Linked DNA regions of Stegostoma tigrinum. The protein of the gene in region 1 purifies or fractionates together with the protein of each later gene. This does not show direct contact. Links are inferred from orthologs where the notes say so. Each region holds a gene or a part of one and is shown in the gene's direction. Other genes may lie near its edges.

What was found. The genes of interacting proteins can lie anywhere in the genome.
Region 2: the proteins of hectd1 (region 1) and smc4 purify together in Homo sapiens (affinity purification with western blotting; 3 studies listed by BioGRID, with this or other methods). This does not show direct contact. The link is inferred for Stegostoma tigrinum from reciprocal best matches to the Homo sapiens genes HECTD1 and SMC4.

The regions. Positions count from the first base shown.
Region 1 is NC_081363.1:60,981,046-60,987,969, forward strand, and holds the start of hectd1 (E3 ubiquitin-protein ligase HECTD1), read left to right. Parts: upstream 1-3,901; 5' UTR 3,902-4,193; intron 4,194-4,402; exon of another isoform or gene 4,403-4,692; intron 4,693-4,811; 5' UTR 4,812-4,936; coding exon 4,937-5,076; intron 5,077-6,924. UniProt on the Homo sapiens protein: E3 ubiquitin-protein ligase which accepts ubiquitin from an E2 ubiquitin-conjugating enzyme in the form of a thioester and then directly transfers the ubiquitin to targeted substrates.
Region 2 is NC_081367.1:27,392,821-27,400,620, forward strand, and holds the start of smc4 (structural maintenance of chromosomes protein 4), read left to right. Parts: upstream 1-4,800; 5' UTR 4,801-4,916; intron 4,917-4,952; exon of another isoform or gene 4,953-5,060; intron 5,061-5,861; 5' UTR 5,862-5,869; coding exon 5,870-6,011; intron 6,012-7,472; coding exon 7,473-7,651; intron 7,652-7,800. Other genes in the region: ift80 (intraflagellar transport protein 80 homolog), read right to left, coding at 3,212-3,251. UniProt on the Homo sapiens protein: Central component of the condensin complex, a complex required for conversion of interphase chromatin into mitotic-like condense chromosomes.

The DNA.
Region 1 (6,924 bases):
ATGGGAGAATGCAAGAATGAGACAGACCGATAGACTTACTGAAACAGTGAGGTTCAGGCAATGACTTTCAGCTGGGTCAGTCGTTGCCTGTTACCGAGGGAACTTGTACTCAACAAGCTCCGATAGGAGATTAATTACTGATTCCCCACCGACCTTTTGGGAATTATCATAAAGATTTTGAGTATTTGCTGCTGCAGATATTCCTCAATATGGAAAGATAGTAACACTGTTGGTGCAGAGTAACTGTCTGATGATGGCTTGGTGCATCTTTGTCTTGGAACTCAGACGAACAAGGCTGTAAAGAGACAGTTTCTGTGAATATCCTGAAGGCATACTCCAGGAGCAAAGTGAGGAATGAATATGCCAAGGACTGTCGGTGCCAGAACACCAACTGCACTATGTATTGATGTTGTTCTGTTATGTAGTTGATCTTACCCATTGTATTGTCATGGTTGAGATCACATTGAACAATTTTGGATGGCAGCTTGAATGGACTGTCTCTGTCCACGTGGCTGAATGCATTTATAAGATCAATGAAGGCAATGCACAATGGTCTCCTTTGTTATTGTGTTGCTATTGCAGTTGCTGGACTGAGAAGTTCATGACAACTGTCGAAATTCCAGTTCTGAAAAATACTAGGATTTGAGGTAAATGGATTCAGCAGGAACTACTGTCTGTCAAGGGCAACAATAGCCAAATACTTTGCTCAAGATGTTGAACAAGAAGCTGCCATGCAAATTTTTGCAATTCTGCTGTTGCCCCATTTCTGCAGCAGAGGCAAGAGAAGTTATCACAGTTGCTGCAAGAGTACCAGTTTCTCATATTTTATGAGTTCATATGGTACACTATCAGTACTTGCAACTTTGCCCATGGCAAATGAATTAATGTTCAGTATATTATGGAAAAAATTATACATTGAATATTAACTCCACTTTCCCTAAGGGCCACCAGTGAACTGGATGGGGTTTTCCTGACAACCAGCAATGAATTCATGGTCATCACTGGACTCTTAATTTCAGTTCTGTTCTTAATTGAACTCAAATTCTATCATCTGTCATGGTGGGATTCAAATGCAGATCCCTGGAACATTACCTGGGTCTCTGAATTAACAGTTCAGTGATAATACCACTAGGGCATTACATCCCCTAATTGGGCTCCAACAAGCATGACCATCTTCCTGTGTGCTACGTATGATCCCAACCAGTGCAGAATATTTCTCCTGATTCCCATTGACTTTAAATTTGATGTCACACTCAAGCAAACACTGCCTTGATTTTATCCCCTCCTTAGTTCAGTTCTTTTGCCCATGTTTGGACCAAGGCTGCAATGAAGGCAGCAGCTGAGGAGTCCTGGTGAACCACAAAATAATAATGTGAGCAGGTTACTGCAGTGTAAATGCTGCTTGATAACACTGTTGCAAACCTTTCCATTATTTTGGTGATAATTGAAAGATGGTTGATGGCGTGGCAACTGGCCAGATTGGATTTGTACGGCTTTTTGTGGACAGGTCATATTTGGACAGTTTTCCACATTGTCAGCTAGATGCCAGTGTACAGCTACACTGAACGGCTAAACTACAGATGTGGTTAGTTCTGGAGGTTAAGTCTCCAGTTCCAATGCTGGAATATTGACAGGGCAGTTAGATGTCAGACTTCTATCAGTTAGCACTTTCCTAGTGTTGCTTTCCATATTTTGAGAGTGCATATCGTTGATGGAATGTTTCATTTTATTTTGGTGTTCATTGTGGAAATGCTGGTGAATGCGTGTTGTGTTGAGGAACTGTTGGTTTTTACATGGTGGGCAAAATGTTTGATCTTGATACAAAGGCAACATTTCTGCTTTGAAGAAAAGCTTCAAGGGTTCCATCCACTGGGTCACACCAGAATGTCTCCAGGACGCTGTACCCTGGATGTCTCCTGGCAACATTATGGTATGGCTTGTTCTGAAAGGTGTTGAAAAGCTTGTGACAGTGGTGAAGCTTAATTTGTTTCTGTCTGTTTTCATATACCTTTCAGAGACAGCAGGGCCATGTCTTATGGTCTGCATCCCCTCTTGCACTGAAATCCCCAGTGGATGAAGATATCCTGACTTGGGGATTCTTCTGACAGTGTCTCGCTCCTCACAGAACTTGTCTTTCACCTCTGTCATGGAGCACAGATGCCCATGAAGTTAACAGACCCTGCTTGAGTTCAGAAGCGGATGCGGAGAATATATTTTGAACTAACTGGAGTGAGTTCCATCACCAAAATTAATAATTACCTAACAACAAAACCTACACCAGACGCATAAACCTGCTCTGAACTCTTCCCTATCAGATGAATATGTTTTTCTTTCAGTGATCCACTCTTTGTGAATATGGTGTCTTGGAGGGAAGCTGTGTTGATATTCTGTCCAAGTTCCACATGAATCACTGTTGTCTTCTGCATTTTATCATCAGCTGCAAGTTGTCTGTTGGCACTTGGTTCTGACATTCAAGCCTACTAACAGAATAGTTTGTGTCTTTTTTCTTTTCATGTTTTTCACTTGTTTGCCTGGTATGATAGATTCCACTTGCTTGTTGAGCAAGAGCTATTAGACGTAAGCCCCCTTTGAAGCAGATGGACCTGTGGCAAGTCAGCAGCTCATTATTTGGGAACTGCCCAACTTGAAGTGAACGGTGCTTTTCTTAGCAGCATAGAATGCACCTTCTGACCTCAGCTGACAGCTAGAGCTTTCTATGGCAATGAAATTGGCCTTATCACTTGTAACTGGTGTTTCCAATGTTATGTTAATATTCCACGGAGCACTGGAGACATCCTCTTCTGCACAAAACGTACGAAGACCCAGAGCAGCCCAAAGATCCGGGTTCAACTCCTTAGTTGATTCTAAAGGAATACAGAGCGTATTGTTTGATACTCGTTTGGTTGCGGGAGTAACTGGAAAATGACCAACGTAGTATCACTCTGTCTTTGGCTGTACTAGATTTTAAATAATGTTTTGCTCCCTTTGCCTTAACCTCTCCTGTGGTATTTAAAAGGTTGCAGGGTTATTCACCCATTGCTGGAATTTGATTCACAAATACCAATACCAAATACCACTGGGTTAATGCTCAACTTTTTCTCAACGTTTTCTCAAGATAACTGTTTACGAATAACCAACAGTATGATTTAGGAAATGGGTGGAGGGGTGAATGTTGGCTGGGCATTCCTACACCACTTTGAAAAAGTGCCCTTGTACGTATTTTATTCAGCTAAATAGCATCTGAAAAGCTCATGAAAAACAGTACATGTTTTAGAGTCGTATATAAGCCATGTCTTTCTAAGGCTGAGTCAAAAGAGATACCTTGAAAGGAACAAGTCATCGCAAGATAACAAAGTGTGAAGCTGGATGAACACAGCAGGCCCAGCAGCTTCTCAGGAGCACAAAAGCTGACGTTTCGGGCCTGGACCCTTCATCAGAGAAAATGCTTGGCCTCACCTGAGACATTTCTCAAGTATTGTCACGCCTGCACTGTAGGAAGTATGGCAGCTAATTTGCACACAGCAAATCTGCACAAAAACAGCAATGACAACGGTCAGATGATATGATTTTGTGGTGTTCGTTGTGAGATAAACGCCTCTCTCGATCTACCTCGAAATGATGAGAAGCGATCCGTTCATTTGTGCGTCCGTCGTCGAAACTCACCTTAACGGCAGATGAAACTGTCCTTCTGCCAACAGGCCCGCAGAGAAACCCTCCGAGAACACCACACCACTCCACAGCCTCAAATGAAAAACATGTTTTGTTTTTCACGGCTCCAGCGACGAAATTAATTCAACGGTCACAAGGTGTTTTTTTTTAAAAAAGACTCACCCATCATGTATTTCGAAAGGAGGTGAAATGTGGTTGTTTGTTTTATATCTAATTTCTCCAAGATTAAACATAACCACACGGAGAGACGTACAAGGTTTGACGTTTGTGAGAGGCCGCGGCGTTTCAGTGTCGCTCCCTAGGTAAAGGGGAGGAACGGACACTCCTACTCCTCCTCCTCCTCCCTCTGCATTCGGTGCCTGGAGCTCCGGTTTCGGTCCCACGACCAGGAGGTGCTCTCGGCCCCTTGTTCTTGAACACTTCGGCCAGCCTGGCGGCGGCGGCGGGGGAGAGGAGAGTGAGGGGAAAGGATATGATGCCGCGGTGTCTCTCGAGCCGCCGATAGCCAGAGCCGGTGAGTGGAGGTACATTGCCGCCGTCGTCGAGAACGGGACGAGGAGTCGCTTTCGGGGCCAGCCGGCTTTGATGACGCTAGGCCTTACGGTCAGAATCCAGGCGCTAGCCCAGGGGAAGTCGGCCGCAACGGACTGCTCTGTCTTACCCTGTTCCTTTCCCCCGCCCCCCCCCAATCATCATCATCATCATCATCATCATCTCCGGGTCAGGCCGAGTCTCTTTGTGTGTCCGCCCGGGCGGTAGGCTGAAGCGAGGCCCAGGCCTCTCCGGTTTAAGTGGGCCTCGTCGGCCACGGTCACTACCTTCGAGCGCCCCGCCCCGGGGTTGACCGGACCGGGCAGCCTGGGGCCTGCGTCTCTGTCCCCGTGAGGCGGCTGTTGAGTCTCATCGGCCTGGGCCTGGACAATACTGATCCGCCAGCTTTAGGCCGAATATGTTTAAATGGCGGCTCCTGAGCGGGCAAGTGCGTTAGTTTCGGGTGGAAATCGCTTGCCCAAACTTTCTCAGGTTATTTATTTCATGGAAGGTCGAGGGGATGGTTTAGAGTGGGGGAATTGATGATGAACTGAAATAACATGCACAAAAAAGAATCCGTTAACGTGTACTTTCTTTTATTTTTTGGCTAGATTCTTTCGGACCAGTTGTGGAAAACACGGTGATCTCTCTTCCCAGGGACTTTCCCACCAGCCTCCCAGTTTTAGGAGGACATTAGTGGGGATAACTGTCAGGGATTTAAGAGGTCTATCTCATCATGGCCGATGTGGATCCCGATACCTTGTTGGAATGGCTACAAATGGGCCAGGGAGACGAGAGGGACATGCAGCTTATAGCCTTGGAGCAGCTGTGCATGTTACTTCTCATGTCCGATAATGTGGATCGTTGTTTTGAAACGTAAGTTTTCTTTTAATTTTGTCGTCGGTCGTTTTCTGTTGACTTGACTTTTGCCGGATCCCAACTTCGATTGGGGCTGTTTTTTTTAATATTTGCTCTTAATTTCAAGAATTGTGCGTTGGTAGTTATTTTAATCGTATCTCTAAGTGACGCATTAGAAGGGAGAACAAGGTTATGAAGTACCCAGGGATTTCACAATGTTTCAGATCTGCGTTCCGATGGCTTCAACAAAGTTTATATTTTACGAACACAACCGCAGAGATATTGTGCGTGCTCTGCAGAGCAAGTGGCTGCCCAAGGGAAATGGATGTGATTACACGCCGAATTGCTTTTAGGTTGGGAACAGCAATGAGTTATGTGACATACTTAATACCTTGGAAGACAGGAGTTCTTGTGGTATTAAACATTGTTAGAAACATGGGCTGTGTTTTTAAGGGTCACTTCTGATATTGATTCAATCAGAAAGTTTGGAAATATGGATTTCCTGACAGTTGATATGCATAACCTCTTCTGGCTAGATTCAGATCCATCGCTGTTAAAATGGCAACGATATTCATTCACCTTAATAGTCGTAGTCATACAACACAGAATCAGACCCTTTGGTCCAACTGCTCCACGCCAACCAGATATCCCAATCTGACCTAGTCTCATTGGCCAGCATTTGGCCCATATCCCTCTAAATCCTTTGTACTCAAACACCCATCCAGCTATTTAAATGTTGCAATTGTACCCATCTCCTCCACTTCCTTTGGCTACCCTATGCATGAGAAAGTTGCCCCTTGGGAGCTTTTAAAATCTTTTCTGCCCTCACCTTGAATGTGTTCCCTCTCATTTTGGACTCTCATAGGAAAAAGATTTTGGCTGTTCGCCCTATACGTGCTCCTCATGACGTCATAAACCTCGATAAGGTCAACCCTCAGGCTCTGACTTGAAGGAATTGCTGAGGATCACAAAGGCTTGGAGGGCACTCTTGGTCCTGAATCTCTGATTGCATTTTGTTGAAAGAAGAAATAAAAAAACATAGTTGACTTTGTTCCATCAATCTACCTGTCACAGATGAACCTGTCCATGACAGGCTTAGTATGAGTGGCCATCACACAATCCTCTGGGAGATCAATTTCCATCTTAATACTGAGGAAACTCCCCATATGCTGTATGACACGAGTACCAAGCTAAATGGGGTAGAGTCTTTAGAGGTTTGGTGCCTGAAAATAAAATAGTAAGCAAACACTCTCGGCCATTGATAGCAACAGAACTATCTACCGGAAACTATAAAACTGAAAAGTCATAAGAAATAAGAACAGAAGTTGGATGGTTTGGCTCCTCAAGCCTGCTCTGCCATTCAGCAGGATGATAGCTGATTCGGCATTTCTCATATCCACTTTCCTGCCCTTTCCTCATAACTCTCAATTCCTCTACTGATTTATCTCCGCATTAAGTACATGCACAATGACTTTGCGCCCACAGCTGCCTGTAGCAAGCAGTTCCAAAGGCTGTCAACCCTCTGAAAGAAGAAATTCCTCCATCTCTGAATTTTAAATGGACACCCCTTTATTCAGAGACAATGCCGTCGGGTTCCAGATTGTCCCATGTGGGAAACATCCTTTCATTATTTACTCTGTCAACCCCCTTTAGAATCCTCAGAGATAGTAACAACTGCCAGTGCTGGAGTTAGAGATAACCGTGTGGAGCTGGAGGAACACAGCAAGCCAAGCAGCGTCGGAAGAGGAGGAAAAGAAGGGTCCTGACCAGAAACATCAACTATGCCTACTTCTCTGCTGCCTGGCCTCCTGTGTTCTTCCAGCTCCACAGTGTTATCCCTTCAGAATCCAATATGTTTCATTGAGA
Region 2 (7,800 bases), on another chromosome or scaffold:
AAGATGTGGTCTAACTAGAATCTTACACAACTGTAACATAGCTTTCATCTTCTTGAGATAAAGGCTAACATTTCTTTAGCCTTTGTAACAAACATTTGCGCCCATCCACTAGATTTAAAGTTATTTCTGTACTTGGATATCAAAGTCTATCCAATCATCCAGATTTCTTAGCTTCTCACCATTATAAAACTATTCCAATATATGTGCCTTCAGGCAAAACAAATGGAAGGATTTTCTATTGTATGTTAAGTCCAAGCTGCATGACTTCAATTGACCCACATTTTGCCTATCCTAGTAATGTTTCGTAGCAACTTTTCATCCCATTTTACAGTCTGCTGTGCCACATAACTTAATGCTGTCAGCAAATTTGGATATACAGCTACCTATTCCTTCATCCAAGTACTATTACATAGCCAACACTAACAGTAGGATGCAATTACAACGTAACATGTTTACTTATACAGCCTACAACATAAATGTTGACATAGAAATTTACAATTAAAAACACCTTACCCCAATGTGGCAGAAACAAGATAATCAAAAGCTAGAGATAATGGGAAATGCAGATGCTGGAGAATCCGAGATAACAAAGTGTGGAGCTGGATGAACAAAGCAGGCCAAGCAGCATCTTCGGAGCACAAAAGCTAACGTTTCAGGCCCAGAACCTTCATCAGAAAAGGGGGATGGGGATACGGTTCTGAAATAAATAGGGAGAGGGGGAGGCGGATCGAAGATGGATAGAGGACAAGATAGGTGGAGAGGAGAGTATAGGTGGGGAGGGGATAGGTTAGTCTGTGAAGGACGGACAGGTCAAGTGGGTGGGATGAGGTTAGTAGGTAGGAAATGGAGGTGCGGCTTGAGGTGGGAGGAGGGAAAGGTGAGAGGAAGTACAGGTTAGGGAGGCAGGGATAAGCTGGGCTGGTTTTGGGATGCAGTGGGGGGAGGGGAGATTTTGAAGCTTGTGAAGTCCACATTGATGCCATTGGGCTGCAGGGTTACATTGATGACTGTATCGGTGCTGCCTCATGCTCCCAAAAGGAGCTCGAACAGTTCATCCACTTCAACACCTTCCACCCCAACCTCAAGTTCACGTGGACCATCTGCAACACATCCCTCACCTTCCTGGACCTCTCTGTCTCATCTCCGGAAACCACCTAGAAATCGATATCCATTTCAAACCCACCAACTCCTACAGCTACCTGGAATACACCTCCTCCCACCCACCTTCCTGTAAAAATTCTACTCCCTATTCCCAATTCCTTCGACTCCGCCACATCTGCTCCCAGGATGAGGCATTCCACTCCTGTACATCCCAGATGTTCTCGTTCTTCAAGGACCGCAACTTGTCCCCCACCCCCCACAGTGATCAAGAATGCCCTCAACCTTGTCTCCCACAACTCATCTCTCACATCCTGTCCCCACAATAACTGCCAAAAGAGAATCCCCCTCGTCCTCACATACCACCCCACCAACACACCATCCTCCGACACTTCCGCCATCTACAATCCATCCCTACCACCAAAGACATTTTTCCATCCGCACCTTTGTCTGCCTTCCGGAAAGACCACTTTTTCCGGGACTCCCTTGTCCGCTCCACACTCCCCTCCAACCCCACCACATCCGGCACTTTCCCCTGCAACCACAGGAAGTGCTACACTTGCCCCACATCTCCTCCCTCACCCACATCCCAAGCCCCAAGATGACTTTCCACATCAAGCAGATGTTCACCTGCACATCTGCCAATGTGGTATACTGCATCCGCTGTACCCATTATGCTTCTTCTACATTGGGGAAACCAAGCGGAGGCTTGGGGACCACTTTGCAGAACACCTACGCTCGGTTCACAATAAACAACTGCACCTCCCAGTCGCAAGCCATTTCAACTCCCCCTTGCATTCCTTAGATGACATGTCCATCCTGGGCCTCCTGCACTGCCATAATGATGCCACCCGAAGGTTGCAGGAACAGCAACTCGTATTCTGCTTGGGAACCCTGCAGCCCAATGGTATCAATGTGGACTTCACAAGCTTCAAAATCTCCCCTTCCGCCACTGCATCCCAAAACTAGCCCAGCTCGTCCCCACCTCCCTAACCTGTTCTTCCTCTCACCTATCCCCTCCTCCCACTTCAAGCCGCACTTCCATTTCCTACCTACCAACCTCATCCCACCCCCTTGACCTGTCCGTCCTTCCTGGACTGACATATCCCCTCCCTACCTCCCCACCTATCTCCTCCTCTATCCATCTTCGATCTGCCTCCCCCTCTCTCCCTATTTATTTCAGAATCCGCTCCCAATCCCCCTTTTCTGATGAAGGGTCTAGGCCCGAAACGTCAGCTTTTGTGCTCCTAAGATGCTGCTTGGCCTGCTGTGTTCATCCAGCTCCACACCTCTTTATTTGAAAGCTAGGATTTGCAGACGTGAAGTAGATTCTTAACATTTCACAAAAATTATAGTAGACTTTAAAGTAGGTCAATAAAGGAGAACCAGGGAATTTTGGATCTGAATAGAAATTCATTAAAAATTAATTTAGGATTGTTGTCAGTTATTTTTGTTTTACTTCAAACTGCAATAAATTACCATAAAAATCAAAACATTCAGGGCATCCAAAATATAATTAGATATGATTAATATGGAGTTGCTATCATGCTTGAAGTGAGCTTTAACAGAATGATTAGTGGTGTCTAATCTCTGAAAAAAAATTATGTAACAGCTATCAGAGTGACTGTTTTGTTCAAACTCCATTCTGTTTATTAAGGTGACCAGTGAATATCCAGAGTTGGCTGATAAATAACTAATTTCATGATAACCAAAGTAAAATTACATTAATCAGATTACCTCTTACACAGCAGATCCCCACGTTTTTAACTTCCTGTATTCTTGGCACTGTTCACTACAATATGCCTCATTCCTCTATAAACCATTTAGACAGGACTAGAACACAGTTGAGATGGATAATTTATTATAATGTTTTATTTATTTAAATAATGGAAACAAGGAAACAATATGTTCTATTTTGTTTCTAGTTACGGTAATTTTTAAAAAAATCTGAGACATGCAAATGACAAAAATGATAAATCTAAACCTACCCTGCCAACAGGCTGGATTTACTAATACTAATTTAAAGCTATACATTCTTCCAATTAATTTTTTTCTTTTATTTGTAACTTAATGCTCATTACAAAAGTTTAAAAAAATGAATTCATTGAAAGGATATGTTTCGGTTCCTTCAACAGCGATGTCTTCAGCCTCATTCTTTAGAAATTGAATTGGACACAATGATTAAATCAACTCCAGTAACAGAGGTCAACTCCACTAACTGCAACGTCTTCAGTGGCTGCCAAATTGACAAGAATGTTACCAGTTGCACATCATTGTTGAATATTAACACATTTTCAGTTTCAAATTAATTTTTATCAAACAGTCAAAAATGACCATTGGAAAGTGAATCCATTTTTACACAAATTAAAAGTGTACATAGCTACACAAATTGAGTATACACAGCATTACAATTATGTGACTATTTTCTTAGTATAACCCATTATAGCAAAAATATAAATTTGACATGGAATAATATTGCAGTAATATTTGGACGGAAGTATCAAACTCTAAGCAAGTTGCTTCTGTGCACATCATGAAATTTCTTCAAAATCTTACAAATCAACGTTTTAATTAATCTGTATGCCACAACAACAAACCTTGGTACTCTAATTTAGCACTTGTGCAAAATTTAGACAACATGCCAATATCAGTTACTCCCAAAACCTCATACCCGCAAAATTCAAACAGTGAGAAAACGCAAACACAGTAGAACTGAAAGCCCATTTTTTGAGATGCATTTCCTTGGTACATGTCACACAATCCGGACACCGCCAGCCATATAGAAAGTTATCAATACTGCCAGATTGTACCTATTTGGAAGTACGAATCCCCATTTTGGTCGAAACATTGCGAACCATCTTGATGCATTCTACAGTTGTAAATACAAACAAGTTCCAAATGTTCAACATGGTATTTCGAGCGATCATAAACAAACACTCCCTGACACTTCTGAACTGTCCACTGATGGATGGCAAGATTGAACCGAATAGGCCAAATGGGTTCGCTCACACAATACAACACATCAGTTGGCAACAAAAACCGAAAGAACTGCGGATGCTGTAAATCCGGAACAAAAACAAAGTTGGTGGAAAAGCTCAGCAGGTCTGGCAGCATCTGTGAAGGAAAAAACGAAGTTAACGTTTCGGGTCTGGTGGCCCTTGCTCAGAGGAAGGGTCACCGGGCCCGAAACGTGAACTTTTTTTTTCTCCTTCACATATGCTGCTGAGCTTTCCCAGCAACTTTGTTTTTATATATCACTTAGCAACAATATTTGCCCTATTATCAGCAGGAGCAGCAATGGGCCAGGATGTCATTTCATCTCAAACCCACAATCTATAAAGTCTGGTCCTGACGTAACCCTTTTACACATAAAACGATCGAGTGTTACACACACGTTTTTTTAAAAAAAAATGGACTGTACCAATTGACAAGCAAAGCCCACCGCTTTTACCTCGGCAATCTAAAGGAAGTCCCAGACCTCAGCAATTCGCTCAGAATCCGCTCCCCTACTTCAGTTAGGCTCCAAACAGACTACAGTCTCGCGGCGCCTCGCGAGACCGCCGCTCGCCGCTTCTTGGCAACCAACACGGCAACCGCGGCGAAAAAAGCAAACAGCTTATACTTTTTAATTTGATAATTACCAGCCCGTCGGTCTTCCTCCAAGACAACCAGCCTTGCCGCGAAATTAAATATTTATTTTGATTTTTAAAAATTTGGCATCAACCCCATTTTTTCAAACCGGCTTACCCACAATGCTTTGTCCCTCAACGAATTTCAGTCAAGTTTAGTTTTCGGCGCCATTTTCGACTGGGTCCGAGGTAAGCGCTTGAATTTTTCTCGAATTTATTCCTTTATTTTTTAATTTCCCCGTGCGAAAGTGGTCCCAAAATATTCCTAATATTTTTAAAAAAAAATAACAATCATTCGGCGCCGGAAAATCGAGTTTCGGAGTGATTTCCAAGGTATTGATGTAGTGGAAATGAAATCTGTTTTTAGCGGGATGAGATGCATGACAAATTTGTAAACATGTTGTTTCAGGGAAGTGGTTGCTATCTGCATTTTTTTAAAAAGCCCGGTTCCATTTATTGCATTGAACTAAACTTTTGAGAAATATGAACTGTCGAGTTCGTTAAATAATTACGATTGTTATCTCAGTCAGAATTTTAAATATTTTTCATTTTAGAATAGTTTTTTCTCCGATTCTTCCCTCCCCCCCCCCACCGCATTTTAGCTTTTGATTATTTTACTTGTTGGTGTGTTCTGTAAACTCAAACTACTTCATTTAAGCCATCGAACTAATATTAGACACAATTCATGTCAAATTTTGTTTTTTTTTAAAAAGTCTGTTCGTGCGCCTATTTAAGCTTAGTGACGTAGACTGCCTCAAATACACGTCGTTATATACAGCTTTTTTCATTTGATCAAATTGTTCCATTTTGAGTAAACGTTGTGTCCTTTCTAGTGAGATTTGTCTTTTATGTAATCTATACGGTTGACTTTTTAAATACAGTTTTTGTAACGTCATGATGTGGCGTTGGATTACAGTAAAGTACAGTAACTTTTCCTAATCTGGGTAGGGTTGCGGTAAATTTGGAATTAATGGGTTTTTTTTCAGGAGGTACTTTTTTTAGCCGAACTTTGATTTTTGTTTCAAAGCTTTTCTAAAGATATGGGCGTTGTGGGAATGAAAGGAATTGAATGGCAATGAAGGGATAACTACGTTTGCCTTGAGTTTTTTTTTGTTATAATAATTGCTGAACTAGGTTAAACCATGCCTGCCAAAACGAAGTCTTCTACAGCAAAGCAAAGCGCAAAACTGGGTCCGGGGGGAACTGAGCCCCTGGATGAGTTTGACAACGAAATGGATATCCAACAAAAGGCAACTGCATCAAATGTAGATGAAACTACAAGAGGTAATTTTTTCTTTGTCCGTGTATGGTTAATTTTATTTGTATTTTAAAATTTGTATTGTTAAAAATGAACGCATTTCATTTCTTGTATCTTTTTAATAAATTGAAGCTGTGATAATCGCTGCCGTTTAGTTCGTTTTGAAATTGGATTTAGCCGCCTAAAGTATGGCTAAACAGGTTGCCGATTCCATTGCCTATACGCCGAAATTGTTTTTGTAATCATTTTGCAAAAGTACTTCATGTGTTTTACCTTGGAGTTAACGGGTGTAGTTCCATTCAGACATGGGAGGAAAGCAGCCAACATTAACTAAACTTGTCAAGATCGTATTTGAACTCCGTAAGCTTCAATGACAATTGCAACGGATTACTTGTACCTAGAAAGTTGGTGCAGTAGATTTTTTTTAACCGGTTTTCAGCATAGGCTTGTAATAACTAGTGTTTACCCTGAAAGAAATATGTCCAGTCGTGTAATGGTTTACTTTTTTTCTTTGACAGTTTTTTTTTGCCCCTGACGCTGCAGCGCAATGGGGTTTGAGTTTTCTTTTCATTGTGTTCCCTTTTTTCCTTTGCGCGTTTTTGTACAGTACGTGAATTGTGGGGGGAGGGGTTGAGTTTCTGTAGCCTGGAGTACAAAACTGCTTTCGGAAGCTGCTGAAGATGTAAGAGATTTTAACCGAGAATTGATAAGACGTGTGATTTATATCTAATTACTTTCGTTTTTTACAAAAAAACGTGCGTCAGAAATTTAATAAAATTAGTCTTTTTCCGTTTTGTTGCTGCAGCAACTCCAAAACCAAGTATTTGGCAGGCGTACAAAACGCAATAGCAGCATTAAACTAGTGCAAGTTGAATACTTACTAGCCATTACTGCCGTACAGTACTTTTATGATCACTTTTTTCATGAATGCAAATTAAGTTCCTGAAATGTGATCTGTGGCAGTGTTTCACAGAGCATCCATATGATCTTGCATTGTAAATTAAAATATGTTATTGCGGCAGACTCTTCTCACAAGCATTGTTTTAAACATACACTTCAATTTATTAAATTAAACATAGTGCACTTCATTGTTCATATGTGTTGCCCATGATTATAAATATTGATTTTTTTTCATCAAGAATGGTGCATGAATAATTTAAAGAAAAATATAAATATTTGTCTGGAACTGTTTTGATCTATTAAAACAAGCCTGGGAACAAAATGTTTCTGATGGTCTTAATTTTTGTGGAACGTTGTTTTGTAATTGGACAATTTTGAGGTCATTTTGAACAGTTATGCATAACATTTTTGTGTATTAATGGTAATACCAAGTGGTATCTAACTTTTTTTAAACATCAAATGTGTGAAATGAATTGACTTTTTATAAATATTTGTGGTACAAAACTCTTGTTACATGAAATACTAAACATTATGCCTTGGTAGGATAGTGTTTAATTTGTTTTGTCTCTGTTTATATGTTGTCTCAGAATTACCAGTTGAACCAATAGATAATCGAAGCTTGGAAGAAATTTTGGCTGGCATATCTCCTCCTCCACCCCCAGCAATGACTAATGAACCCGGAGCTCCTCGACTCATGATAACTCACATAGTGAACCAGAATTTCAAGTCATATGCAGGAGAACAAATCCTGGGTCCTTTTCACAAGGTAACAGTTCACAAAAATTATACTGTTATCTAAATTCACTTTAAAAATTATGCTGTACTTAAATTCAAATCCAAAGTAATTTTTTAAAAATCAAATCGAAACATTTTGGGTGGAGATGTGAAACTGAGAAAATGCCTGGTCAGTTCCCT